Linked DNA regions of Cricetulus griseus. The protein of the gene in region 1 purifies or fractionates together with the protein of each later gene. This does not show direct contact. Links are inferred from orthologs where the notes say so. Each region holds a gene or a part of one and is shown in the gene's direction. Other genes may lie near its edges.

Evidence for each region.
Region 2: the proteins of Vapb (region 1) and protein FAM83G purify together in Homo sapiens (affinity purification with mass spectrometry; 3 studies listed by BioGRID and IntAct, counting the BioPlex papers as one, with this or other methods). This does not show direct contact. The link is inferred for Cricetulus griseus from reciprocal best matches to the Homo sapiens genes VAPB and FAM83G.
Region 3: the proteins of Vapb (region 1) and Aftph purify together in Homo sapiens (affinity purification with mass spectrometry; 3 studies listed by BioGRID and IntAct, counting the BioPlex papers as one, with this or other methods). This does not show direct contact. The link is inferred for Cricetulus griseus from reciprocal best matches to the Homo sapiens genes VAPB and AFTPH.
Region 4: the proteins of Vapb (region 1) and Prkaca purify together in Homo sapiens (affinity purification with mass spectrometry; 4 studies listed by BioGRID and IntAct, with this or other methods). This does not show direct contact. The link is inferred for Cricetulus griseus from reciprocal best matches to the Homo sapiens genes VAPB and PRKACA.
Region 5: the proteins of Vapb (region 1) and Akap11 purify together in Homo sapiens (affinity purification with mass spectrometry; 3 studies listed by BioGRID and IntAct, counting the BioPlex papers as one, with this or other methods). This does not show direct contact. The link is inferred for Cricetulus griseus from reciprocal best matches to the Homo sapiens genes VAPB and AKAP11.
Region 6: the proteins of Vapb (region 1) and Ttc1 purify together in Homo sapiens (affinity purification with mass spectrometry; 4 studies listed by BioGRID and IntAct, counting the BioPlex papers as one, with this or other methods). This does not show direct contact. The link is inferred for Cricetulus griseus from reciprocal best matches to the Homo sapiens genes VAPB and TTC1.
Region 7: the proteins of Vapb (region 1) and Rmdn3 purify together in Homo sapiens (affinity purification with mass spectrometry; 4 studies listed by BioGRID and IntAct, counting the BioPlex papers as one, with this or other methods). This does not show direct contact. The link is inferred for Cricetulus griseus from reciprocal best matches to the Homo sapiens genes VAPB and RMDN3.

What each region holds. Positions count from the first base shown.
Region 1 is NC_048599.1:5,230,273-5,233,498, reverse strand, and holds part of Vapb (vesicle-associated membrane protein-associated protein B/C), read left to right. Parts: intron 1-517; coding exon 518-598; intron 599-2,170; coding exon 2,171-2,347; intron 2,348-3,226. UniProt on the Homo sapiens protein: Endoplasmic reticulum (ER)-anchored protein that mediates the formation of contact sites between the ER and endosomes via interaction with FFAT motif-containing proteins such as STARD3 or WDR44.
Region 2 is NC_048600.1:75,700,702-75,704,884, forward strand, and holds the start of protein FAM83G, read left to right. Parts: upstream 1-1,383; 5' UTR 1,384-1,458; coding exon 1,459-1,983; intron 1,984-4,183. UniProt on the Homo sapiens protein: Substrate for type I BMP receptor kinase involved in regulation of some target genes of the BMP signaling pathway. Also regulates the expression of several non-BMP target genes, suggesting a role in other signaling pathways.
Region 3 is NW_023276807.1:85,786,905-85,790,404, forward strand, and holds part of Aftph (aftiphilin), read left to right. Parts: coding exon 1-1,765; intron 1,766-3,500. UniProt on the Homo sapiens protein: Component of clathrin-coated vesicles.
Region 4 is NC_048596.1:160,443,328-160,447,372, reverse strand, and holds the start of Prkaca (cAMP-dependent protein kinase catalytic subunit alpha), read left to right. Parts: upstream 1-1,245; 5' UTR 1,246-1,411; coding exon 1,412-1,457; intron 1,458-4,045.
Region 5 is NW_023276807.1:232,898,098-232,902,050, reverse strand, and holds the start of Akap11 (A-kinase anchor protein 11), read left to right. Parts: upstream 1-1,153; 5' UTR 1,154-1,258; coding exon of another isoform or gene 1,259-1,288; intron 1,289-3,953. UniProt on the Homo sapiens protein: Binds to type II regulatory subunits of protein kinase A and anchors/targets them.
Region 6 is NC_048600.1:58,410,263-58,414,381, reverse strand, and holds the start of Ttc1 (tetratricopeptide repeat protein 1), read left to right. Parts: upstream 1-1,319; 5' UTR 1,320-1,433; intron 1,434-2,813; 5' UTR 2,814-2,846; coding exon 2,847-3,179; intron 3,180-4,119.
Region 7 is NC_048599.1:59,331,828-59,335,327, forward strand, and holds part of Rmdn3 (regulator of microtubule dynamics protein 3), read left to right. Parts: intron 1-698; coding exon 699-891; intron 892-1,274; coding exon 1,275-1,418; intron 1,419-3,500.

The sequences.
Region 1 (3,226 bases):
TCAACCCCTTCCCCGTGTCTAGAAGGGGATATTAGTGAGGAACCTAGCCCTCACTGGTGGGTGGGGGTGGCGTGGGCAGGGCCATTCTGATGCAGTAGTGGAATGGCTCTGTGGTGAATGGGCCCCACTGGTGGTTGACTGGTCAGCCAAATCCTCCTCCTCCAGCTCTTTAGGGAGTGGGTACCCTGTCCTTTAGATTCCAGTTCCTTAAGGAGAGAATGCTTCCTGGACCTGTGCTGCCCATGAAGTAGAAACAGGCAAGCTTGGGCAGGCGGCCCTAAGGAGCCAGGCAGCAAGACTGCAGGGTTTGCAAAGTGTGATAAATATTCAGGAGAGCGAGTGCATTTAATCTTGTCATGTTAAAAATATTGAAGTCTCAGCAGACTTAAGTTCTTTATTTGATATACATCAGGGCTTTCTCATTAAGAGTATTTTTCTGAAATTGTCAGTTATAGGAGGAGAATTATTCTTCCAGCAGCTTGATAATACCCTGATTATTAAATTTAAATTGTTTTAGTGGAAGGAGGCAAAGCCGGAAGACCTTATGGATTCAAAACTTAGATGTGTGTTTGAATTACCAGCAGAAAACGCTAAACCAGTAAGTATGTCTCCAGTTAACAGTAATCGAACGTTGCAGGCAGACACTCATTTGCATGCCATCTCCTGTGAAACAAAGATTTAAACTGGCAAATTATTTTCCTCCCTCTAATGTATGAAGGAAAAAAATCAGCTGAAGTCAACAGATAAGCTGGTATTATAACATCAACCTTGGCAAAGACTTGCAGAAAATGGCCAACTGAAATAGTTTCCCCTTGAGCAGAGTAACCTGTTAGCAGCTGCAGTCAGAATCCCAGGGAGTCTTTGCTTGGTGAAGTGGGGAGACCAGAATGGGGTGATTGGCCCTTTTTCAGGGCGCTCAGACAGGTGGTAAACTCTCAGAGCATCCTGTCAGTATTCCCCTCAGCATCTGCTCCCCACCAACTCCCTCAGTGCCGGTCCTCCTTGAGATGAGAGTCTCTTGGCCTCACTGTTGTTGGCATGTGTTTACATCCTGTGCCGTGTGGGATATTGAGCACCGAGCACCCACTGTCCCAGACCCTGCTCCCTAGACACTAGCAGTACCCCCAGATTTTCATGGAGGTTGTTACACATCTACTGCCCCAATCTGGGCCCTCACTGGGGACCAGCAGAAGACAGGAGATGGTTTTTCAAATACTGATGTACACTTCCCTTCAAAGTAGCCGGAAAAGGTAAAATTGTGTCAAGAAGTAAGAACCGTGGGTGATCTTTAGGTCTCTGCCAGTGATGGACGGAGCTGGGAAGGCAAGGCACGCTACAGTGTCTTTACACATGACTGTGAGGAGCCCAAGAATGCTGTTGGTTGCTGTCAGAACTGCCTGGTTTCTTCTGCTCTATCATCAGCTACAGCCATCTCTGGTTATTTGAATCAGAGAGAACATCACCCTGTTGTAGGAAAGTTAGAAGCAGGGAACATGGATCATGACCCCCAGCCCCCTGATAATTGGGCTCCAGCCTGGACTCTGGCCTCCAAGGCTCTCCCTTCTGTGGGAGGTGAAGGGGGCTGGAACTAGGTGTCTGATTTTCAGATTGCCACCCAGAGCCTCAGGCCACCATTCTGAGTGCTCCTAGCCCTGCTTCCACTGACTGGCTCATCCTCCAAGAGGGTACCATGACTCCTTTTATGCAGGGGAACACATTTGGCCTTCAAAGCTTGTTCGTCCTCATCCCTGCTTGTAAGGTGGTCCATGTGTAGTCCTCTCTAGGCCTCCTACCTCCCACCCCCAGCGGCCTGGGATGCTCAGCTCTCCTGCAAAGGTAATTTGCAGCTGATAATTCCTGAGCTTGCACAATTGCAGTATGTTAATTTTTGCATGGCAGGAATTTGATAGTGCAGTGTGCACAGCCCTTTTCTCCTCCTTGAAGTATTCGCCTCAGCCCAGCTTCATTATTTGCCCTTATCCATAGTTTCTAGGGCCTGGTAGCTTTAGATTATCAAGATACTAGATAAAGTGATGCATTTAAAAAATAAATGTGACATTTTACAGTGTGGATGGAATGCTACCTCATGTACTGTGTACTGAGAAATACTTTGCATAAAATCCTTGCTCACATAGTTGGTGACCCTGGGCTTTCCTTTGTTTCTGAGCAGCACGATGTAGAAATAAATAAAATCACACCTACAAGTGCACCCAAGACAGAAGCACCGGCAGCTGCCAAGTCCCTGACGTCGTCCCTCGATGACGCCGAAGTGAAGAAAGTGATGGAAGAGTGCAAGCGGTTGCAGGGGGAGGTGCAGAGGCTGCGGGAGGAAGGCCGGCAGCTCAAGGTAACGCCTGCTCGCCCGCCCGCTCGCCCTTGCTGAGCAGCTTCTGTGGGCAGTGTGGGTTTGGTGTGCTGTTTTGCATTTACTTCCCCAGGAGACTCACCTGCAGAGCTTTCTTTTGGGGCTCCTGAAAGGGTGTTTGGATTGTACCTGCCCAACTGTTGTTTTCCTCAGAGCCAGACCCATCCCCACTCCATTTGTCTAAGTTGAGCCAGCTCTTTGAATATTCACTGTCAGACCCCGCTTTGGCCAATCCCTTGGGTGGTCTTGGTTGGGGGCCAAATCATACTATATATTTTTTTAAGATTTTATTTATTTATTATGTATACAACATTCTGCTTCCATGTATATCTGCACACCAGAAGAGGACACCAGATCTCATAAGGGATGGTTGTGAGCCACCATGTGGTTGCTGGGAATTGAACTCAGGACCTCGGGAATAACAGTCAGTAATCTTAACCTCTGAGCCATCTCTCCAGCCCCCATGCCCATACTATTTTAACACAGGGAAATGAGTTTTGAAACCTCTGATGTGGGTCCGGGCAGTAGAAGCTCCTCAGGCTGCTTGGTAACAAGAAAGCACGGTGTTGGCCCAGTAGAGAGGTGGAGGTGAGAAGGGGGAACCAAGGCATGCATCTGGCCAGGCTGTGCTGGGGAGGTCAGACACCCTCAGCCTAACAACCTATGTTGCCGGCTATACAGTTTGCATACAGTCTTGTCCACTCTAGGCCCATTTCTTAGGCCTGTTTGTTGAGTGTCTCTCCGGTTGCCTTCTAGCTTGAGAACTGTGGATCTGTCTGTCTTGGATGTGGATATATACCCGGGCATCTGATTATAGGAGCTTTTGTTGCAGCTTAAATTTTGAGGCCTATTTGTTCTTAA
Region 2 (4,183 bases), on another chromosome or scaffold:
CCAAGAGACAGATAAAGAGCCTTCAACCTGAGGGCCAAGTTCCTTAATGAAACCAGGAACTCTGCAGTGGTAAGAACAAGAGGATAAACTGAAGACTAGCACAGTTTTGCAGGGAGTCCAAGCCTCTCAGCACTGCCTCTGTCTGCTCCTTGGGAATGGGAGGTAAGGGGGTGATTCAGATACCTTAGAGGGGGAAAGGGTGCAAACAGGTATGGGAACAGGGACAGGTATGGAAACACAGTGTTCACATGGTATAAGGCCTGCTGTGAATGAGGGCAGGGCTTGGACTTGGTGATCCATGATGAGACTTGGAGGCCTCATAGGATGACGAACAGTGGCAATGTGTCTGGAGGTATACAAGAATGCCATAAGACAGTCCTCAGTTGGACAAGGCCAGGGTCCATTGGGACTCAAACAAGCTCCATCTTGGCCCAGAGCTGGTGGGTGGGTTGGCCTGGGGCCCTGGAGCTAAAAGTTTCATGGAAGAAGCCATTTGTCTGCAGGGATTAATGGGTTTTGCCAAGTTGCCCCTGACACCCTGCCCTCAGATGTGGACCCAACATTCTCTATTGCTGGGGTACACCTAGCCAAGAGCTGGGTCTGAGCACAGCCTGGTCCTCTCCACCCTTCCCTGCCAGAGGGCTTAGGCAAGTGGTGTGCACCGGGACATGACAAGTGGGACTCTCAGCAGGCAGGAAGGCTAAGGACTGATTGATCTACACCAGTTCTGCACATATCAAAAGAGAGTGTGGGAGCAGCGGAAGGTGGACCCATGACCCAACTCTCAACAACTGGATAGCCGAGCATCCCACCTGCGAGACGACAGAACTGGGCTAGAACTGGATCCGGATCACCAGTAGAAGTGGGGGGGGCGGAGGAAGGTATCTTGTGAGGCCTGAGGCAGCAAACTGTCCAACCTTGCACTGTCTGAGGAGATGAATCAGCTTCCGGCCCCGCCCCCGGGGCCGCACGTGACCCCAGGTGAGAGCGGAGGGGATGGGCGGGTCCGCCCTTAGTCACCGGCCGTCCAGCCCGCTGCCACTACCACTGCCAGTCGTTCCTCGCGTCGCCCGCTCTGCACGGCGCCACCTGCCCGGTAAGCGACTCCCTCCTCCGGGCAGGCCTCCGGGTTTGTGAGCCGTCCTTCCCGAAACCCGACCCGGGCTTGGGCCCCTGCTTTTGCTCCAAACTGGGACGGGGTTCCCTGGCAGCCCCAGCTTATTGCCAGGGCTCCGCAAACCTCAGGCGGATCCCAAGGCGCGGAGGCGCTCGGCCGCACCTAGACACTCAGGCTCCCTCCCCACGCCCCGCCCACACGGCCCGCCCCGCCCACACCGCCCTCTGACCCGGTCCGCGGTCTTCTGCTGGTTCCCTCAGGTGGGTTTCGCAGAGGCGCTGAGACCGTGAAGCCCGAGAGCGCGGTGCCCGTCGGGCCGCGTTCCCACATCGAGGGCCGCCATGGCCTTCTCCCAGGTGCAGTGTCTGGATGACAACCACGTGAACTGGCGTTCTAGCGAGTCGAAGCCCGAGTTCTTCTACAGCGAGGAGCAGCGGCTGGCCCTGGAGGCCCTGGTGGCCCGCGGTCGCGACGCCTTTTACGAGGTGCTGAAGCGCGAGAACATCCGCGACTTTCTATCGGAGCTGGAGCTCGCGCGCATCGTGGAGACCATCGAGGTGTACGACCCGGGCTCCGAGGACCCGCGGGGCTCGGGCCGCCGTCCCGAGCCCCAGGACAACGGAGGCGTGGATGCCAGCGAGGATGCCAGCGCTGCGGGAGGACCCCCAGCCACGGCCGAGCCATTGCCCTCGCTGGAGTACTGGCCCCAGAAGTCGGACCGCTCCATCCCGCAGCTGGACCTAGGCTGGCCTGACACCATCGCCTACAGAGGTGTGACCCGGGCCAGTGTCTACATGCAGCCACCCATCGACGGACAGCCGCATATCAAGGAAGTGGTACGCAAGATGATCAGCCAGGCGCAGAAGGTGAGGCGCCAAGGAGGGACCCCATTCACCCAGCACGCATGGGGACCCAGATGGCTCTGGGACCACTGACCGGCTTCTTAGTTGCCTCCTTCCGTGGGCAGCAGCCGAATGCCCACCTCCTCTCTAGCAGGCGGCACTGGGCTTCCAGACTCTAAGGTGCCTTACTGGAGTGTTTCTGAGCTTCTCAAATTGCAATGCTTGAGTGGGGTGGGAGGAATCTGAGCTTTCTCTCTCACCCACTCTTCCTTGCCTTGCCTCAGACATGCTAGAAGATAGAAGCTCGCACACATACATGAGATTGCAGGAAGGGGACTTGGGGAGAGGCATGGAGGCTGGTCTGGGGCCCTGAGAAAATCTGCCTGCTTCCTAGCTACGCTGAGTGGCTGGCCACGAGCTGCTCAGCTTCACTTGGAGTAGCAGCCTCTGTCCAGGCCAGGGTGTCTGAATGAACAGGGTGCCACCTGTTGAAGGTTCCCACCAGTGGAAGAAGTGACAATGTCTACTTGGTTAGTGGTTTGTCATTAGGAGGCTTCTAGGGCCTTGTTTGGATCCTCTTACCTGACATCCACTGGGCTACACAGTGCCCAGGCTATGGGTGACTGCTCCACACTGACACACTGACACACATCCTGAGAAGCAGTGTACATTGCTTGTACACACAGCCAAACCATAACTGGGTGGCTGGCCGTGGCTGTGAGTGGAGGCGTGCCTGATTTGACAGGCAAGGTAGTCCAGCAAACTGTTCTATCTGGAGCAGGTCTGGTAGTAGTGAGAGTGTTCCTAGCTGGGTCTGACCCCTTTACTGTTCAGGTTCAGAATGGAGCAGTGTACATGACAGATGTTCGCCCTGGGGACTGTCCTGGCTGACAGGTCCTGGGGAGCTCTTGGGCAGAGAGAGACCAGAAGTAGGTCAGCAGCTGAGAAGGTGGCCTGGCTGGTTTCCAGCAGGGTGGAGGCTCCGTCCACAGGGCCACTAGCTGAGGGTTTTTAGTCTGTAGATGCAAACTGCATCTCTGGCCATTGTGATGATGGAGTATTGGGTAACAGGAATGAGGAAGGACTGGATAATCCTCTGGATATTTGACAATAGCTGAGAATCTGTTGCTCCTAAAAGGGCCTGGGGTGACTTCCACTTGTGGCAGAGCCCAGTCCCTTGAGAGGAGGAATAAAGACTCTGAATGGGGCCTGCCCTGCTGTGCCAGCCCTCTCACAGCAGGTAGGAGGCAGCTGCCACCTTCCAGCTTGGCTTGGGAACAGCCACAGGCTCTAATCTTCTGCAGACAGAATGACATAGGGCCAGCCAGTGATAGGGACAGATAGGGGTGCCTGGGGCCACAGTGTACCCTTAGGGCTTCCTGTCCACATCCTTGTGACCACAGCTAAGATGTATACACCCTCCGCACACCTATAGCTTCATATTCATCCATTCCCGCTTCTCCAAGGTTATTGGTGACACCTGTCAAGGGTGACAGTCAGGAAGACATTGATCTTAATGTGAGCCCCGTCTATGTGGCACTGTAGTGGGTTACTTCTGACTGCCTATCATGGGGAGGTATTGCCTTCTGTTTCCCACACTTGGAGTCTGTTCCCCACAACAGGGAGTCCCCAGGGGTCCTTAGAGTTGACAGAGGCCACGGCCATCTTACAGAGATCAAGGATTTGTTCACAGCCCTACTGTGCTGTCTTGAGCCCTACAGGCCACTCCCTGTGGACCTGTGTGAGTCCTTGTACCCCCATCTCTGTCCTGTGGCCCACACAATACGTGGGAAGGCTGTAATAATAGCTTCAGTGGAGTGCGAGCACTTTATAATCTCAGGTAGTGTTATCTGCCTCTTTTTTCACATGTAAAAACTGAGGCCCGACTGATTAGTCCTTCCTGCCCAAGATCTCTTAGGCCTGTTGTACTCCAGGACCTACTCTGGTGTGGCACCTGGTAGTAGAGCAGTGACAAGTAGGACCTGGGAGAGGCAGCTGACCTCAGTAGTCTGAGTCTTCACCTCCTTATTGCTGCTTCCCAGCCTCCTCAGGCAGGCCCAGACGCCAATGGATGCTGACAGAGCGCTTTGCCCGCCCTCTCCTTGCTCCTCCCTGTAGGAGCTCTTCGGTCTTATCTCTCACCATGAGTCACCTCTTGCCCCTGTCACCCACCTCCCCTTTTTACCCTATGCCAGTGCTAGGGGAACCCCAGCTTCCTAGGGTT
Region 3 (3,500 bases), on another chromosome or scaffold:
TCCTAAAGAAGACTTTGTACCTTCAAACCATTTTATGCCAATTCACAATTATTCAGAAAATGTAGATAGCCTTACGAGCTTTAAGTCCATTAAAAATGGTAATGATAAGGATATCACTGCTGAACTTTGTACTCCTGTGAAAAGTCAATCTGATGAACTTTCTACCACCAGCAAAGAGATGATTCCATCTAAAACTTCAGATCCTTCCATCGATGGCATGGAAAGCCCAGGAGATTTAAATAAAGTTGTGGTGCAGGGACCAAACACTGGACAGCCCAGAAGTTTCTCTCCAGGTGATTTTAGAACTGATCCGAACATTGTTCACCAAACCAAGCAATTAGAGAGCTGCAACGGTGAAAAGCCTCCTTGTCTGGAAATTCTAACAAATGGGTTTGCAGGTTTAGAAACTGTAAATCCTCAGGGAACAGATGACCTGGACAACATGACTGATTCAAAGGGATTGAAGCCTCTTAGCACTTGTGGCACTGAATGTGGTTTAGATTCTACAGCTAGTCTTACTAAGGAATTTGCAGATTTTGCTGCATTTTCCCAAACAGAAAGGATACAACTAGAAGAAATAGAATGTGCAGTTTTAAATGATGGTGATGCACTGACCATTCAGGAAAACAGCAGAATCAGCAGGGTCAATGAACTGAATTCTTTGAAGGATGTGTCTTTGGGTAGAAGCTTTGAGGATAAAGGCGTTACTGATGGAGAACATCAGGTCTATGTTTCAGAAGTGCATGTAGTAACTGACAGAGGTTTCAGTGTTGACAAACAAGACCTTCAAACACAGCAAAAGAATGAATTTTTAAATTCAAGAATTCAGTCTGAGACGTGGAGTTTGGTAGACTCAACTGAAAATTCAGAAGCCATTAGGAGGGACCAGTGTAAAAGTGAGGAAAATGATTTATTTGCTTCTAAATGTGCTGACCTATGCATGGATTCTATTAAAACTTCTGATGTTAATGAAGTTGATTCTTCCAAAGAAGGAAATAGAAAGTTTACTAATTCCAAAAACCCAAACCTTGATTCCACAGAAGAAAATGTTTTGGATGATTCGGCTGCAAGCATAAAAAATGGTGACAGTGGTAACGACTTTGTGACTTGCCATGATACCAATGAGGATGATTTTGGTGACTTTGGTACAGCCAGTGGCACCACTCCACCTTTTGTTACTAGTACTCAAGATTCAATGAGTGATGTCACTTTTGAAGAGTCCTCGGAGCATTTTCTACATTTTAGTGAACCAGGTGATGATTTTGGAGAATTTGAGGATACAAATGCTGTTTCTTGCCAAGAGGAAATGATATTTACTGAATCCAACCTAAAACAGACCTCTGATAGTTTATCAGAGGAAGATCAGTTGGCAGGAAAGTCTGCTGGAAAAGACAGTGAACCTGACTCAAAACTGGAAAATGGTCAAGACAGTGAATTTGGAGATTTTGATTCTGTGCCAAATACTCAAGACAGCGGTAGTGCTTTCCAAGACTCAGATGATTTTGCAGACTTTAGTTCAGCAGGTCCTACTCAAGCTGTAGATTGGAATGCTTTTGAGGATGAACAGAAAGATGGTTGTTCTTGGGCTGCCTTTGGAGATCAGCAGGCTACTGAATCCCATCATCGAAAAGAAGTCTGGCAGTCACATAGGACAGATGAAAATATTGATACTCTGGGAACCCCTAAGATGCACAGTGTCTCTTTAGCAACTTCCAAAGGAACAGTTGCTGGTGGCCATTTGCAGGATTCAGGCACTTCAGTTCAGGTATTTACTCATTTCCTCTGTTTTATATAACATGTTAATTGCTAGGGAGACTCCTAACACAGCTTTTAAAAATTAACTGAGTACCTGCTAAAGGAGTTTCTGTGTGAGATATGATATTTGCTGGCTGGATTTCTAGATTAGAGTTCTCACAACCTTTTGAAAAATTATAAAATTGCTATCATGGTGAATTTCTTAGTTAACAAAAACTCGTCGATTTAAACTATTTATAATAATGTTTATTTTAAATATTAGCCATTTTTCCTTTGGTTTTTATCTTTACAATAATTTTTTGAAAAGGTTAAGTCTTTTTTTTAACTTTAGACGTTAAAAAAATCAGTTAACTATGTCTCTTAAAAATTAAAGTGCAGTTTTGATTACAGGGAAGAGCTAATGGAATTTGAAACCTCATAATTTAACAGCCACAAAAAGATCTGGCATGAAATAAATAAGGTTTAGCCCTAGAAGAAGTAACTGTGGATTAAATTATTGTGGTTATATTAATTTATTTATAATTTCTTCTTTGTGTATATGTGTTTTTGTTTTGTTTATGACTATTCTTAGGGAGAATGTTTACTCCTAAGCACCTGTGTGCAATTCTTCCTGATTCATACTCTGTAAGAAAAGATTCATTAATATTTATTTTGATCTAAAATAGCCCCTCTAGTTGTATCTTGATATTATTGTTTCCCAGTCCTGAGTTGCACTCTATACTAGCTTTTACCATTACTCAGCCCAAGTAGTGAGGCATTCTCTTGAGAAAAAAACAAAAACAAGTCACTTCTTTATAGTGGTGATTGGTGTGGGACATCTTGTCCTTAGGCTTGGTTTTTTGTTGTTGTTGTTTTTTGGTTAGTTTTTTAAAGATTTATTTATTTATTATGTGTACAGTGTTCCGCCTGCATGTTGCCTGCAGGCCAAAGGAGGGCACCAGATCTCATTACAGATGGTTGTGAGCCACCATGTGGTTGCTGGGAATTGCTCAGGACCTTTGGAAGAGCAAGCAGTGCTCTTAACCTCTGAGCCATCTCTCCCGCCCCTTAGGCTTGTTTTTAATATTGATGCGGTCTATTATTTTTTCAGTTGTCTTTTGCTAAGAAATCCATTTTCAACTGGAAGTATCTCTGAAGTCTGTTAATTGAAATAATTATACTTTATTGCTTTGATAGCTTTGATACATGTGATATTACCAGTTGGTATTCATAGCTTCTCACTCATTGGCTTTGAGTATCTGAATAGTTGGTTTGCTAATTCAGTTATTACTTGGATGAGCTAATGTGCAGTATTACTATTTAATAATTTATCACTGAGGAAAGAGCCTTATAATTCTAACAACAAATTAACTGATTTTAATACAAAATGAAGACTTTTGCTTTGACCTAGCCCTTTCCCTATTTAGTTTCATTGCAGTAAAGTATAGGGTGACAGTGGTATTGGATGATCTTTAGTTTGTAGCCTTAGAACTTCTAACATCATCAGATAATAAATTTTTAAAATTATGACCACTTCAAATGGAAATTTCTTACATGTTGAGTTTATTTGTACATAACTTAATAATTGAATATATATGTATATATACATGCATTTACATAGATCATGTATGGGCTTCACTGGAATATGACATGTGATTTTGCATCTTGACAGCCTGTTGAAAACTATGGTTTGGGATAGTAAGTGAAAACATGTAGAAAAAGAATTTTGTTTTGTAAAAATAAAATGTAAGCTGCATAGCGAGAGC
Region 4 (4,045 bases), on another chromosome or scaffold:
TGGAGATGATTTATGTTGCTCCAGGCAGCAGGAAGATGGAAGTATACCAGCATCCAGTGTGTTAGGGTGGGGGTTCTGAACACCAACTAGTGTGTAGGAGACCCCTCCAGCAGAGTGCTCAGGCCCCTGATGTCAGTGGCACAGTGGGAAACTGACCCTGTTCTGGCAGCACAGACTTGAAAGAGTACCCTGGGCAAGGAACAATGCTTGCTTAGCAGCTGGTAGGCATTGTGTTCAACCCCTGCATTGCATGAAAACAAAATTTAAAGATGGGCATCCAGAAGGAACGAGAATGGCTCCCTGCCTGTCCCCAGAGGGCAGGTTCCAGATAGCGATGTCCAGGCAAATGGACTAGAGCAAGGAACCAGTCTCACCATTCCTCCTCCATCAAATGGGAGTGTGACAGTTCCAATGTGCTGGGAACGAGAAGTCATGTACTTGGCCAGTGTCCTCGTTATTACTTTTCAGGGGCCTAAGGCTGGGCCACAGTAAACGGGACATTAAGAGTCTCCTCCCAGCCTGCCCTCACTTTTGGATCCAGCATCCTCTTGCAGCTCCGGCTGTGGCTAGAGCAAACAAGGAGAACTCCGAGCTGGCCGGGTCACGGCCGCCCAGCGTCAGGCCTTATGAATGACGCCGAACGGCGCCCGGCGACCTCTGACCCGCGGCGCCAGTCGGCCCCTCCCCCGCTGGCAGGTGGACAAGCCTCTGCGCCGGCCCGCCGTGGCGTCAACCTCCGCTGGCCCGTGGCCGCTGCCGCACTGGGCAGGGCGGGAGACTGCAGGGCTCACGGTGCCGCACCGGCGTCCGCTGGGGCCGCCTCCCGCACCTTGCAGCGTCTGCCGCCCGGCTACCCTCCAGCCGCCGCCCCGCCCGCACGCCTGCCCCCCCGGGCCGCAGCCTGCGCAGCTACCCCGCCCTCTCACCCTGGGATTGACACTGACTGAGGCCGCGCGCCTCAGCCAATCGGCGGCCTCGCAGGGCGAGCCCCAAGCCCTGTTGGGCTTCTCGGCCAATCACATGCATCCGACCGCCCGACTACGGCCTCGCGAGCCCGTGAGTGGCTGAGCGTCTGCAGCTCGCGTCAAGCATCCGGGAGCCTATGGTAGCGCGGGAAGGTTTCGGAGGGCCAATGGACAACGGCGCGAGGCTGTCTGTCAGGGAGGCCTGAACCAATGGGCGGCGGGGTGCGGGGGCGTCACGGACAGAGGACTTGGGCTGAGGCTCCCCCGCGGGCGGGCGCAGAGAGACGCGGGAAGCAGGGGCTGGGCGGGGGTCGTGGCGCCGCAGCCAGCGCAGCCAGCCCCAGGGGCCGCCGCCTCCGCTGCCCAGCACGCTCCGGGGACGCCGGCCGCCTTAGCACCCGCCGCGCCGCAGCTCCGGGACCGGTCCCGGCCGCGACGCCGCCGCGATGGGCAACGCCGCCGCCGCCAAGAAGGGCAGCGAGCAGGAGAGCGGTGAGTTCCCGGCCGTCACCCTAGTCCCGGCTGCTGCGGCCTGCCCTCGCTCTGGCCATCGCTGCATGGCCCCTCCCCCATGTGCCCCCCCATCCTGTCCGCCTGCACCCCTGCCTGCTGCCTGCTGCCTGTCCACGCTGGGGTCCGAGCACCGCAGAGGAACCTTGCCCCTGGTAGGGCTCCCGTGCCCATGGCCGACCATCCCCCACGTTAAAGGCCGTGCACCCCCACCCAGCTGTCACTGCCAACCATTGCATGCATGACCGCCGGGGCCCCAGATGGGGCCCTGTCACCACCCCACCCCCTCCTCTCCTAGTCCCTTTCCCCATATTCTAATCCCCCCACACTTCGTCACTCACCTTTTCCACACAGCGCCCCAATGCCTGACCCTGATCCAGCCTCCTGCCAATCTCGGGAGTGCTGTGGGGTCCACTCTGCAGGGACCTTAGCTACTTGGTGACCACACCCCTCCCCCTCCAGCCCCCGCCATCTTTCTCCTATCCCTGCTCGATTCTCCCATCTCCAAGCCCCCTTGCCCCATGAGCGTTTCCCAGGACCACCTCCTGCATTGTTTTCCCCTTTCTGTGTCACTTGGCATGGGGAACAAGATCTTTCTGGGTCCCTCTGCCCCTCTCATCCTGTCACTCTGCCTCCTCCATGTAAGCGTCTGGCCCTGGCTGGGGTGGGCAGACTGTTTATGAACCTAGAGAGCTGCTTCTGCGCTTCCAGATCCAAGTTCTAGCTGGTCTCGCTCAGAGCCATTGCGTCTGTCCTCTTTCTTGGGTTGCGGGTGGGGGAAATCGGCAGAGCACCCTCCCATCTCCTGGCCTGCCCTAAGCTCTGGGTTCCTTGGAAGGCCCCTCAATAAATGGTCGTTTCACAACTGCAGTTCTGTCATTCACCCAGTCCCTGGGACTGTTTCGCTCTGCCTGGTTCAAGGCTGAGAATGAAATGTGTTAGCAAGGGCTCATTCGACTTGAATTGGGATGGTCAGAAAGGAATTGCAAGGGTAGGGTAACGACACCCAGCAAAAGGTGACAGCTAATGATTTGGTTTGTTGAGGACAGATGGATACTGTGCATACCCTGGACTCATCCAAAGGGAGGTGTGTTCTACTCCCCCCTTCCCCACCCCAAACATGCTGAATTTTTCCAGCCAGGTAAAGAAACTGATTCTGTATTTGAAATGCCTTCAGAAGGACCTTGTGCCTGTTCCCAATGCTCTCACCTCTTAAAGTGGTGTAATTCTAAGCTAAAGCAGATCCCCTTCAGTTACCCAGAAATAGTCAGACCCACCAAAAGGGGGGAGGGGCTGTGACCAGCTCTGCCCTTCTCAGTGTTTGAGTCCCCAGAATGCCACCGAAGCCCAAGAACTTTCTGCCCCTCCCCCCTTTCAAACAGCGGGGCAGTCTAAAGAGGCCTGGCATGTCACTGATGGGCGGGGGACGGAGAGGCAAGTGCTTGTAGTTGAGGGCTTGATGACAGGAGCAGGTGGGTAGTGCCCAAAAAGGTCTTGGACTTGAGCTTGGAGGGGCCCAGGCAGAAGGGGAGGGCCATCCCCCTTGGCAGGTGAGGCCCACCAGGAGGTAGATGGTTCTGGCAGTGGGGTGTATATTGCAGTAGCCTTTTGAAAACTGAGGGGACATAGTGCTGAAAAAGCTTCAAGCATATCAGACACATTCAGCAGAAACTAAGAGCTACAGAGGATAAAGGGGTCCAAGAAAAAGATCAGTCTCCGAGTTGGCCAGCTGTTTTTGTTGGGATGAAATCCAGCTACTGTTTATCAGGCATCCAAGAGGGCTAACTTAAATGGGCTCTGTAGACAGACTTATTTTGATGACTTTTGTCCAAATGAGCCATCTGAGTTTGACACAGATGACATCATGCAGCAGAATTCACACCCAGATCTGTCTACCCAAAGATCTCTTGGACCCCAGAATGTTTCAACTTAGACATTCTTTTGTTTGTTTTAGCTTTTGAGACAAGGGTCTCTCTGTGTAGCTCCAGCTGACCCAGAACTCTTTCTGTAGATCAGGCTGGCCTCAAACTCATAGAGATTTGCTTGTCTCTGCTTCCCAAGTGCTGGGATTAAAGGCGTGCATCACCATGTCCAGCCTTCATTCATTCTTAAGCTGCCTCCACAGGAGTTAAACCCTAGCCATACTTTCTTAATTTAAAATGATAAAAACATACTGTGAATAATAGTGTATATTGGTGCTACCAGCGATTCAAGAGGCTGAGGCAGGATTGTTTGAGCCCAGGAATTAAAGGCTGGATTGGGTGACAGCAGAACCTTGTATCAAAATACAGATAAAATCTGTGTTCATCAAGATGGCCTAGCAGGTAAAGATGTTTGCTGCCAAGCATGCCAGTCTTGAGTTGTTTTCCTGGGACCTACATGGTGGAAGGGGAAAACTTAACTCCTACAAGTTGTCCTCTGACCTCCATAAGAGTGTGTGTGCACACACCATAAATGTAAAAAATTTAAAATATCAAACAGGCACAGCAACTCATAACTTTATCAAGCAAAAGAGGAACTGTGAGGCTGAAGGACCTGAGTTTGAAGCCAACCTGGGCTGCTATAAAGGA
Region 5 (3,953 bases), on another chromosome or scaffold:
TTTTTTTTTTTTTAGATAATTGTTGGTATTTCCTCTTTTTGTAAGTCTTCAACGCTTGTCACTGTAGACTAGATTTCCAGTTCCTTTCTTGGTTAATTAGCTGTATGTAATCTAGCCTCTATTATCTTTCCAGTTTTATTTCCTGCCATTCAAATATGCGAGATTGGGCCCAATCTCGGGCCGGTGAAGTAGCCCTATTTTTTTTGCTAGAGCCGCTCTTTCTCTCCCATTCCTGTAGTGCTGTTACCCAAAGCACTGCTTGAATCTTTCCTCCCCCGAGGGCACCGCCCCCTAAGTAGAGGCTCAGTTGTAAGCATCATCAGATGGGGATGATTTGCATGTTGTGTTTAACACCTACAGATCTCTACAGCCTACACTATTTGTCTTCATCATACTGCAGTAGGCCACCTGGAATGATGCCTAAAAACGTGCAGGAAAATAGCCAAAAGCTTTTGAAGAGAAGGAGTGTATGGATGCGTCCTTTCTTTCTCATCCCTCTCCCCTGAAGAGGGCAAAACACATCAAAACTCTTCACAATGTCCTTGAGGAGGCCAAGCAACCTTGACCGCCCTGGTCCTTCCCATTGAAACGGGAGTCACACAGCTCGTTATCTGAGGCTCGGCTTCTTGGCGATCAAGGCCTAGTTCCCAATTTCGATGCCAGGCAGGGTGAGCGCTCGCCTTGGCCTGACTGGTGCCTGACGTGTGGTTTTGCCTGAAGATGCTGGGGACTGAACAGAGCAACTCTGAAGGATGGGCTGCAGCTGTGGGAAAGCAGCCCCAGGGAGGCGGGGCGACCCAAGGCCGACGGTCCAAGGCGAGAGAGCTGGGCTAGGGTGCTGGGCAGGACCAAAGGGTTAAGCCGTTTCCAAGGCAACGGACCAGGAAGCGCGCAAGACGTCAGCGGAGAGTTCGTAGGTCAGCTTCGCGTTAAAAGCTCCCACGGGCCGAGGGGCGGTTGGCCAATGGGAAGGGCGCCTCGGCGTCACGTGACAGGCGGCCCGCTGCTTTGCCCTCCGGAGCACGTGGGAAGGCTTTTATTTATTTATTTATTTATTTTAACCTCCCCCCCTCCCTTTCCTTTTGCGCGGGCTCGGCCACGGGGTCGTTCTCGCGAGAGGTGCGATCGCTCTCGCGAGAGTGAGTGGGCGGCGTGGGGAGGCGGCGGCGGTGGCGTCTCGGGCCGGGGCGGGCGAGGGAGGCGCCGCTGCGCTGCGCCTCGCGCCACCGGGCGTTGCGGGCCGTGACGGGCGGGTGACATGCCGGGAGCTGAGAGGCTGCGCCTCCGGGTGAGCGGGCGGGGAGCGGGCAGCCAGCGGGCGGGTCCAGACTGCGGCGGGCTGGCCGGCGGGCGGGCGGGCGAGCGGCGAGCGGGCGGGCGCTGTGGCCCTCCTGCGAGGGGCGCGGGCGGGAGGAGGACGGTGCACTTTGTCCGCAGCACAGCATCCTTCCCTGTCAGCGCCCGAGCCGGGGTCCCCGCGCTGCCCAGAGTTGAGGGGCCGCTGTTTGCATCGCTGTCAGCTCGCCCCCAGGCTGGCCAAGCTACCGGACAGATAGAAAATGTTCTGGCGAGACCACAGTGACAGTAGAGCCTAGAGCCCTGGTATGGCTGGGTGACAGTCGTTCACTCTGCTCACCTTCTTCATTAAACCCATCGGATGGAGGAGGCTTGAGGCGTTTGGTGGTGAGCAACACTGCCGAGACACATCGCCGATGGCCTTGGCGCATACCGGAATTTATATTCGAGGTTCTTGTCATCAGCTTTGTAATTAATTCGGTTGCTTCTGAAAGACGCCCGTTTCCTTTGCGTCTTCCCACCCACCGTGTTAGCAGCGTTATTGATGTCGGTACTCAAATTTGTTATATATCAGAATACTTGAAGCAGAGAGTATTCAGGAAAGATGGGAAGACGGAGTGTTTGTTTATGCGAAGATGATTTCGTTTTAATGTCTGAGCTTTTTTTTTTTGTTTTAATTTTTTTATTTTGTAAATGGCAGCCCAGTGACTGCTACGACTGATGTCATTTCAAATAGTGCCACCTAATCTTTCAAAATACGTGAGCACTTTTCAAGGAATATCCTGGTTATTCATACTCGATGTGTTGTTCTTCAGGAAGAACTGTGAACCATGGGTTGACAGTGATTTCTGCTGTCAGTAACTGACTTAGGAGACATAAAGGGCCGTTAGGGAATTGGGGAAGAAGTGGGTTCTCGCTCGAGCTGTGACTGACGTAGAAGGCAACAGAATTGCTTAGCTGATCAGAAAGGGAATTTGCAGTCTACACCGTGGCCAGACGTTTTTTCTTGATTGTTGCATATACTGCAGTCAAAGCCCCAGAACTGTAGTGAGATATTTTCTAGTCCTTTCTAGCTTCTGCATTCCAGGGCTAAGTCTAGAAGCAGAAGAAATCCTCTGGGAGAAAGGATGGTAGGTTTTATTGTTTTAATTCCATAGATTGAGTATCTGGAAAAGGAACTCCGCAGGTTCAAATCATAATGTAGCAGGTTGTGTAAAGGGAAGTTTCCAGTTATAAGTGGGGAATTTTAGCCACACAGGAAGACAAAGCTTAGGTGAATGGGCACAGGAGATAACATAAAGTTCTCTCCCGTTCATCTTGGCAAAGAGAACAACTATTTGTTGCTAGTCTTTCTGACCTTGTGGCCGGGGTTTCAGACTTTTAGGGCAATGGTTGCTTTGTCTTGTGTTTGATGAAAAGCAATTGGACTCACTTTGGATGGAGTAATTACTTATGTAGACTGTTTTTGTTGTTTTTTTTTTTTCCTTTTTTTTTTCTTTTTGTGAAGTGGCCCCAAGTAGTGAAAAAAAAAAATCCCCCACTTCAAGTGTTGAGCCAGGTTAGGAAACTCTAAGAGCCTAGCTCAAGTGTTAGTTGAGGGTATCCAGACTGGCACTGTTGGCACAGGGGATAGTGCTTTACAACTTTAAAAGCCAATGGGGCAGGTCCATGTATTTTCTTTTTTTCTGCTCATTCTGACAGAAAGAAATTAAAAGAACTTCCTGGAGCTAAGCATTTGGAATGTATGGACTATTGACTGGACGTGACAGGAGGAGGAAACTTAACAATTTTGTATTAGCCATTGCTTACTCTGTGTTTTTTCTTTGACCTTCCTTAATGGCTTGGGGATTATTTGGCTGCAAGAATCAAAAAGCCATTTGAATTAGCTTACTTGAAAAAGGCATTTGTCATACCGTTGGAACATTGCCTCCAAGGCCCAGTTTGTGATTCTAGCTCAGTGACCTGGGGACCAGAAAGTCTTCAGGATGAAACTCAACGAATTTTCTCATAGTTCTCTACTACTAGTTGCATGCCCTATTCAGTTTGTTAAATACTGTCCTCCTCTTGAAACCTCTTGGGTTTTGTGTCTCTGGTTTGCCAGATGTCCTCATCAGACCCACCTTGACTTTGCATGGAGGTTTCTAACAGACTTCAAGTGTCAGTTCTAAATGTCTCCGTATAGAGAGAATGTTGTGGTCAGCTTTCTACTTCTAGTTAAGTTGGTTGTGGGTGAGGTAGTAAGATGGGAATAGGAAATGGATAGTGGGGAGACATAGGTATGCCTGGTAGTTTCTAGGCCTTCAGCTTCTTAGAGTGCTACAGCAAGGTCTTTAAGACAGGGAAGGCCTGTAGACCAGGAGGAAGTGATAGCTACCTTTGGTGTACTGTAGTATCTCAAAGTTTGAGTTCTTCCCTTGAGCGCTGCATTGCACTTATCTTAGCTAGGTAGGGTTGTAGCTGGATTCAGTGGTCCCTTTTCAGGACAGATTCTCCTAGTTTGTAAGGTTGGGCAGGTTACTTTAAAACACTTTGCTTGGTGGGCATAATGATAACTTGAGAACTGTGGATTCCCACGTGTGAAGCAAATGGCAGGTACTTTGCAGAAATCTGATGGCTAGTGTCTGTTGCTGACTGTGCACTGGGCTTCTTGTGTGTTC
Region 6 (4,119 bases), on another chromosome or scaffold:
AGCAATCTGAAGGCAGAGACAAGCAGATCTCTGTGAGTTTGAGGTCAACTTGGTCTACAACCCTAACCAGCCTGGGCTACATAGGGAGACCCTGTTTAAAAGGAAACAAAAAAAAAGTGGAGTGCTTAAGAAAAAGACAGGCATATATACATCATAAAGTTGAGTTGGTCTTTGAAGAAGTCTTGCTTAAATATCTAAGTCATACTTTCTCTTCCTCTCCTCCTCCTCTCCTTTTTCCTCCCCCACACTCCTTCTCTTTTCAGTGATGGAGATTAAACCTAGGACTTCATGCATGCTTGGGCAAGCACTATTCAATTCAGTCCATTTTTGACTTTTTGTTTTGTGTGCATATGGTCTTACTTAGATGCCCAGTCTGGTTGTGAACTCTCAATAGCCCAGGCAGGCTCACCTGAAACAGCCTCCAGCCTCTGCCTTCATGGAGGCAGATGGGATTACAGCAGGCATAGTAAAATGTCTCCATAGCTAATACGTTTTTACTAGCACTTTTTTTTAGCTAGGTATTCACCCTGTAGCCATGGATGACCTCAGACTTACTACATAACCTAGGATGGCCTCAAACTTCTGTGATCTTCCTGCCTCCACCTCTCAAGCACTGAGATTATACCATGAGCCACTTCATCTAGCTGTTTTGGTGGCTTTTAAGGTTACATTATTTAAAGGATTTGAAAGACTAAGTTATGTGGTATCCTTTTTAGGTTCCCCAGGTCCTGGTGATCAAACTCTTGCTCATCAAACTTGTTGCCAAGTACCTTATCCTACTGAATCATCTCACCATCCCCTCACAATCCTATTTGTCAGAAAAATACAGATTAGAGCCAGAGATATGGTTTATGCTTCATTGGGTAGAGGGGCTTACCTAGCAGCTGGCATCACCTACTTGTTTTTACATGCCTTCTGTTGCACTGTATCATAAGACAGCCTCTGGAAAACACCGTACAACCATGAGAAAATGAGTAAAAAGCGTATGCAATTGTTAGTGTTATAAACTGTTACTCTCCTAGCAGATCTCTTGAATGTCACTTAGGAAACTACTCGAGAGAAATGTTTATTTGGAGATAAAGTTCGTTTTCGGATTCTTCTACACATTATTAGCACAAGGAACGCCAGAGTGACGTTTTTAAAACAACGAGCACTCACTTTTAAAACAATTTGTGCTGAATAGGTTTTGACATAACCCAAGACGGTAGCTGTGGCTCATAGTCCTGAGCCGTACGGTGACGTCACATAGCTACTTCCGCTCACTTTCCGAGTTGGCCACTACATTTCCCAGAATGCTTTGCCAACGACGACGCCATTGGTGAGCGCGGCCGGAAGTGTACCTGACTGAGGGGAAGTAGAAGGTCTCCGAGGGCCGAGTGGTGGAAAGCAGAGCTACGAGCTTGGGAAGAACGTCGTGGGTCTTGCGGCGTGGGGTGAGGAGTGTGGCAGGGGGACAGGCGCGGTATCGCGCGGGGAGGCGCCTTCCTAACCTTGACTCAGATCCGGGAGGGGAGTGACATCCGTGTAGAGGTTCCTGGTACGGGCTAGGACAAATTCGGACTTAAACACGACACTGGGTCATTGGCATGGTTTTGCTGCTTACCAGAGGGGTGGTTCTGACTCAGCTTCTAGAGCAGTGGTGGTTAATATACTACAATCACCCAGGTCACTTAAAAAAAAAAAGATACAGGCGCCCTGGCCCGACCGCAGACAAATAATGTCAGTGTCTGGACAGCAGAGTTGCGCCGTGAGGGTTGACAACCAGCCCTTCCAATCCCTGGTTCTGACCCACCTCGAGCAACCCTGTGAAAACTCCTGCGCAAAGGCTCCCCTTCCAGAATTAGCTACCTAGGCTATGCCGCTTGCATTTCGGTTAAATTGACGGGCAGAGTTTGGGCACAGATGCCATATTGGTCTCCACAAGAAACTTATTCTCCGGCTTCCGGTGGCGATGGTGGCCCAGACGGACTTCGTTGTTTCCAGTTGATGACTTGATCATTTATTCTGGACAAAGATTAGAACCTTTTCTTTTTCTTCCTGCCACTCTTTCTGGCTGCTGCCTAATTTTTGCTGCTCAGCAAACAGCAGCTTGTTGTAGGGTCACATTAAAATCAGTCTTTTAATTTAGAGTATGGATTGAGGGTGTGGCTCCGTGGTTAAAACAGTGGCTTACAAGCACCATAAGGTTTGAGATTCCGTCTCCAGCACCGGTGGGAAGTGGGAATATCAGTGTCATAAGACCAATACCATATTTGACTAGGAAAAGCCATCAGTTAAAATGATAATTGGCATTGAGTGTGGGTTTATTATAATCTATTTTGGGTGGAGGAAGGAGCTAATACGGGTCTCATGTAGCCTAGATTAGCCTCAAACTTGCAGTGTAGCCAAGGATGACCTTGGACTTCTGAATTTCCTGCCTCCATCTCTCAAATGATGACTGCCAGTATGGGCCATCACACTTGGTGATATCCTGTTCTTATTTTTATTTATTTTATGTGGTTGGTTGGTTGGTTGGTTGGTTTTGGTTTTTCGAGGCAGGGTTTCTCTGTAGTTTTGGAGTCTGCCATGGGACTGGATCTGTAGACCAGGCTGGCTTCAAACTCACAGTGATCCACCTGTCTGCCTCCTGAGTGTTGGGATTAAAAGCATGCACCACCACCACCAGACAATATCCTGTTTATAATGATACCCAGTGGAGTTAAGTTGTGTTTGGGGATTAAATGCAGAGGTTTTTTTTTAGGTGTGATATGAAATTTAAGAATATATATATATAACCATCATTACATAACACATTCTTTTTTTCCTTTTTCCAGACATTTAGCCTCACCTCCCCCCCTGAACTCAGCATGGGTGAGAAGTCAGAGAACTGTAAGGTTCCCGAAGATCTGTTCAATGGTTTGAAAGTTACAGATTCTCAGGAAGTAGAGTCAGCCAGCCCCCAGGTCTCTGATCCCAAGGTCCAGCATTCCCAGAGCAAGCTACTAAAGGATGATGGAGCCCATTCCCAGGAGGACCATGGAGAAGAGGAATGTTTTCATGACTGTAGTGCCTCCTTCGAGGAGGAGCAGCCAGGGGCACAGATGGTGGGGGACAAAGCCACTGATGAGTCTGGTTCCTCTGAACTAGATGAGGAATACCTAACTGAACTGGAAAAAAACATGCCTGAAGAAGAGAAACAGGTAAATGTGATGCATAACCTGCTTCTTAAGCCACTTTTGTTGTTGCTTTTGGGAAATGTGGTCTCTCAGTGTCATCTTGGCTAGACTGAAACTCAGTATGTAGAATGAACTTGTAGCAATCCCCTCGACTCTACCCCCTAAATGCTGAGATTATAGGCCTGAGCCACCATGCCTGCCTAGCTTAAAGCTCTTTTAAAATTTTAATTCATTGTTTTGTTTGTTTGTTTTCTAAGATAGGGCGTGACCATGTTTTCCGGGCTGAATTTGAACTCCCATTTCCTGCCTTTGCCTCTCTTGCTGTGACAATAGGCATGCACAACCAAAGCCTGGTTCAAACCACCTTAACTATAAATAAATACAGTATTGGCATGGCTTACAATCTCAGTGTTGCAGAGATTAGAGACTAACCTGGGATACTTATGGAGACCCTTGACTTTAAAGAAAAAGTATTTGAGGATGAAAGTGTGTAATAGACCACCTGATCTGTGTCCTAACCGCTTCTCCAGGACAGATCTGAGATAAGGCAGTAGCACAGGGAAGCACTGAGCAGTCAGTTAACAAAGAAGTTGCTTGGTTTTCCCTGTGTATTTAGAACTCTGTCTTCTACCCTAGGGGTCTTATAACATGCATCTGCACAGATGTATAGATTTTGGGAGTTTTTGTGGCTCTAGAGACCAAGTCCAAGTCCTTATAAATGCCGGCAGGTGCTCTACTGCTAAGCTACATCTTGATTGCCACCTTCTACTTTGTCTTTCTTAAATGATTACTCTTAAAGTAAGTTGCTGAAATTTCTGTAGTGAACTTTTTGTAAACTTATTTAGAATTTGTGTTATATGAATTGTACTTGTTAATCACTTATTAGCAAAATATGAGTTGTGAATCAGGAATACCTGATAAGTAACAGCACAATAAGTATCAGGAAACACATTGTGAAGGAAAC
Region 7 (3,500 bases), about 54 Mb from region 1:
TGTGTGTGTGTGTGTGTATGTACACCTACACTGGTGTATAGGTGGTGTGTGTGTGTGTGTGTATGTACACCTACACTGGTGTATAGGTGGTGTGTGTGTGTGTGTGTGTGTGTGTATGTACACCTACACTGGTGTGTAGGTGGGGTGTGTGTGTGTATTTATGCACACCTGTGTGTAGGTAGGGTGCAGTGGGCACATGCTACAGCACTCCTGTTTGAGGTCAGAGGACAACTTGCAAGTGTTTGTTCCCTCCCTCACCATGTGGAACTTGGGCTTTGAACTTAGGTCAACAGCCTTAGCAACAAGTAATTTTACCTATGAGTCATCTTGTTGGTCTGGACTTCTCCGTTCTTTCTTTCTTTTTCCTTCTGGATAGTGACTTGGAACTTGTACTGTGACTTAGCTGTGAAATGTATGCTCTTAGGTGCTCAATTACTTCTTTGTAATTGAACTTCAGGAGAAGCAAATGGCCCAGCATAGTGTTGCATGCCTTTAAACTCACAGCTTGGGAGGCAGAGGCAGGTAGATCTCTGTCTGGTCTACACAGTGAGCTCCAGGACAGCTGGGGCTACATAGACCCTGTCTAAAAACAAAACAGAATAAGAGAAGTAAATGCTCTAGAATTCTAGGTTTGAGCCCCCCCCCCACACACACACACATCCCATGGATGTCTCTGTCTCCTGTTCCCCTTGCTTCAGTTATGCAGTTGCGGGCCATCCCAGGTGAAGCTGGAGATGCTGCAGTGCTGCCCGGCCTCCCACAGGAAGGACAGGAGAAGGTGCTCGACCGCCTGGACTTTGTGCTGACCAGTCTTATGGCACTGCGGCGGGAGGTAGAGGAGCTTCGGAGCGGCCTGCAAGGCCTGGCTGGGGAGATTGTTGGGGAAGTCCGGTGAGTGACCTGGTCTTTTGCTTTGCCCAGTCCCTCAACTATTCCTGGCTCCCACAGCTTTTTCAGCTGGAGTGTGTTCTGCCTTTTCTGGTCTCTCTAAGGAACAAGCCCGTTTTATTGTTGCTAACCCAATGTGGAAGAAGCTGCGTATCTGGTTCCTTCTCCTTCCCAAGTGTCTGCTGCCCCTGTGCCCTTTGGTCTACTGTAGCAGTGCAACCTCTTTGTTCTTCCTAATTTAGTCTGCCAAGCAGGTGGCTCCCTTGCTCTCCTGAGAGTAAAGACCTAGTGTGTTCTCCTTCCTTGGTCCTTTACTGAGGGAGGAGTGAGGGGAGACAGACTATATGGGTCCTAATGTGTCCTCTGGGATGTGACCTGCTTTCCAGATCTCATATAGAAGAGAACCAGAGAGTGGCTCGGCGGCGCCGCTTCCCGTTTTCCAGGGAGAGGAGTGACTCCACTGGTTCCAGCTCTATCTACTTCACCGCCTCCTCAGGGGCTGCATTCACAGATGCGGAGAGTGAAGGAGGGTGAGTGGCCGGCCTCTCCCGAGGCAGTTACAGCTGCAGCTGCATTAGACTTGTCAAAAGATTATTTATCAAAATCCAAACCAATGTGCCAGAAATAATGTTTGAATAAAAGTAGGGGTATGACTAAATGGAAACAACATCCCTGATTATGCCATTCAGACAAACAGGAATGCTAGCAGTTGTTACGTTGTACATCCACTACTTCTCTGAGTTGCCTTTTTATATTATTTTTAATTTTATGCATATAAGTTCATTGCTTGTATCCCTGGGGCCTGCAGAGGTCAGAAGAGGGCACTAGGTCCCCTAGAACCAGAGTTACAAACGGTTGTAAGCAGCCATCCATGTATGTTCTGGGAACTGAACTTGGGTCCTCTGAAGGAGTAGCAAGTGCTCTTACTTGCTAAGCCATCTCCCCAGCCTAGGGCTTTTTTTTTTTTTTCTTTTCCATCATTTTTTTTATGGGCATTTTTTGTGTCATCACAAGGGCTTCCTAAACATTATTTTATGACTTCATTTCTTTCTTTGAGTGGTGGAGCAGGGTGTGCCCAGGCTGTAGGCCTGCCATGCCCTCCCTTTCCCCAGGCGTCACTCTCCTCACCAGGCAGTCTGGTCCATGCTCCCTTGCATCAGTACAGTGGGGAAGTGACTCTCAGGTGCTCAGCAGATCTGATATAGGATTTACCATGAGGTGAGACAGCAGTGGTCAGGGGAAAGGCTTTTTAACTTTAAGCCATAGCTCCGTTCTGAATCTTTGTTCTCAAGGACAGTGTGGTGCCAGTCACCCAGCTGGTCTTCGAGACTTAAAGGCTGATTTTTCTCCTGGGTGGATCTGTTGACCTTTGTTCCTCCTCAAGGAATAGACTGGGTCAGAGAACAGCCAAGATCTGTCAGGTCAGAGTGGCTGAGCTGACTAGAAGTTAAAATCAGCCTCTCAGGATACTGCCGAGCAGATTCCTCTCTTTAGCAGGCAGCTTGTAAGGCTGGTACCATTGGTTTACTTCCTCTGATACTGTGCTAAGCACCTTAGCGGTGTTTTTTACTTAATCCTCATGATAATCCTGTGACCTGGGTTCTGTTTCTCAGATGGGGAACTTGAGATTATTGAGGTTTGACACCCAGACCAAGGGCAGACTTAGCCTGTCTGCTGCTAATCCCATTGTCCTGACAATCTGGTTTATCTGCAGCTGTGTTTGAGTCTGTGATCTGGGGAGTGGCTTGGTCTTCAGGGCATGTAGGACTACCATGGTCACATTTGTGGCATGTAGCCCTTGGGAGTTCTTCCCATTGACTGAGATGCCACAGCTCAGGAAAGGCCCAAGGTGCAGTAATAGTTTTCTTACTTTAGTCTTGTTTGTTTAGGGGGCTGTTATTTTCTCCTGCTTCTTCCTATTTTCCTTTTCATGCTGGGGATCAATCCCAGGACCTCCCATGTGCTAAGCAAGTGCTCTGCCATGGGCTTACATTCCTAGTCCCTCATTTGGTTTTTTTTTTTTTTTCCTACAAAAATTAAGAATAAAATTACTAGCTGGGTGGTGGTGGTGCAGGCCTGTAATCCCAGCACTGGGAAGGCAGAGACTGGTGGATTAAAAAAAGAAAAAAAGAGTAAAATTACTATCCCTTCTCATATTCCTGCCATTGGTCTTTAATGGCAGATTTTTTTTTTTTTTTGGTTTTGTTTTGTTTTGTTTTTGAGACAGGGTTTCTCTGTGTAGCTCTGGCTGTCCTGGAACTTTCTCTGTAGGCCAGGTTGGCCTCAAACTCAGAGATCCGCCTCTCTGTCTCCCGAGTGCTGGGATTAAAGGCGTGTGTACCATCTATGCTTGCTTAATGGCAAATTTGATTTCTGCTCAGGTGCCTTTTGAAACATGAGAATTGTTTTATTTTCTGGTGCCAAGGATTGAACTCAGGGCTTCACATATGCTTTGCATAGCCCAGCCCACTAATGAGTACCCTATCCCAAACAAGTGAACCTTGCTGTAGAATTCAAGCCTTTATTCATTATTGTTGTTGTCTAGATGTCTGATTTCTAATTGTGTACTTGAGGGCTAGTAGAACTAGTCCTTTTTTTTTTTTTTTTTTTGA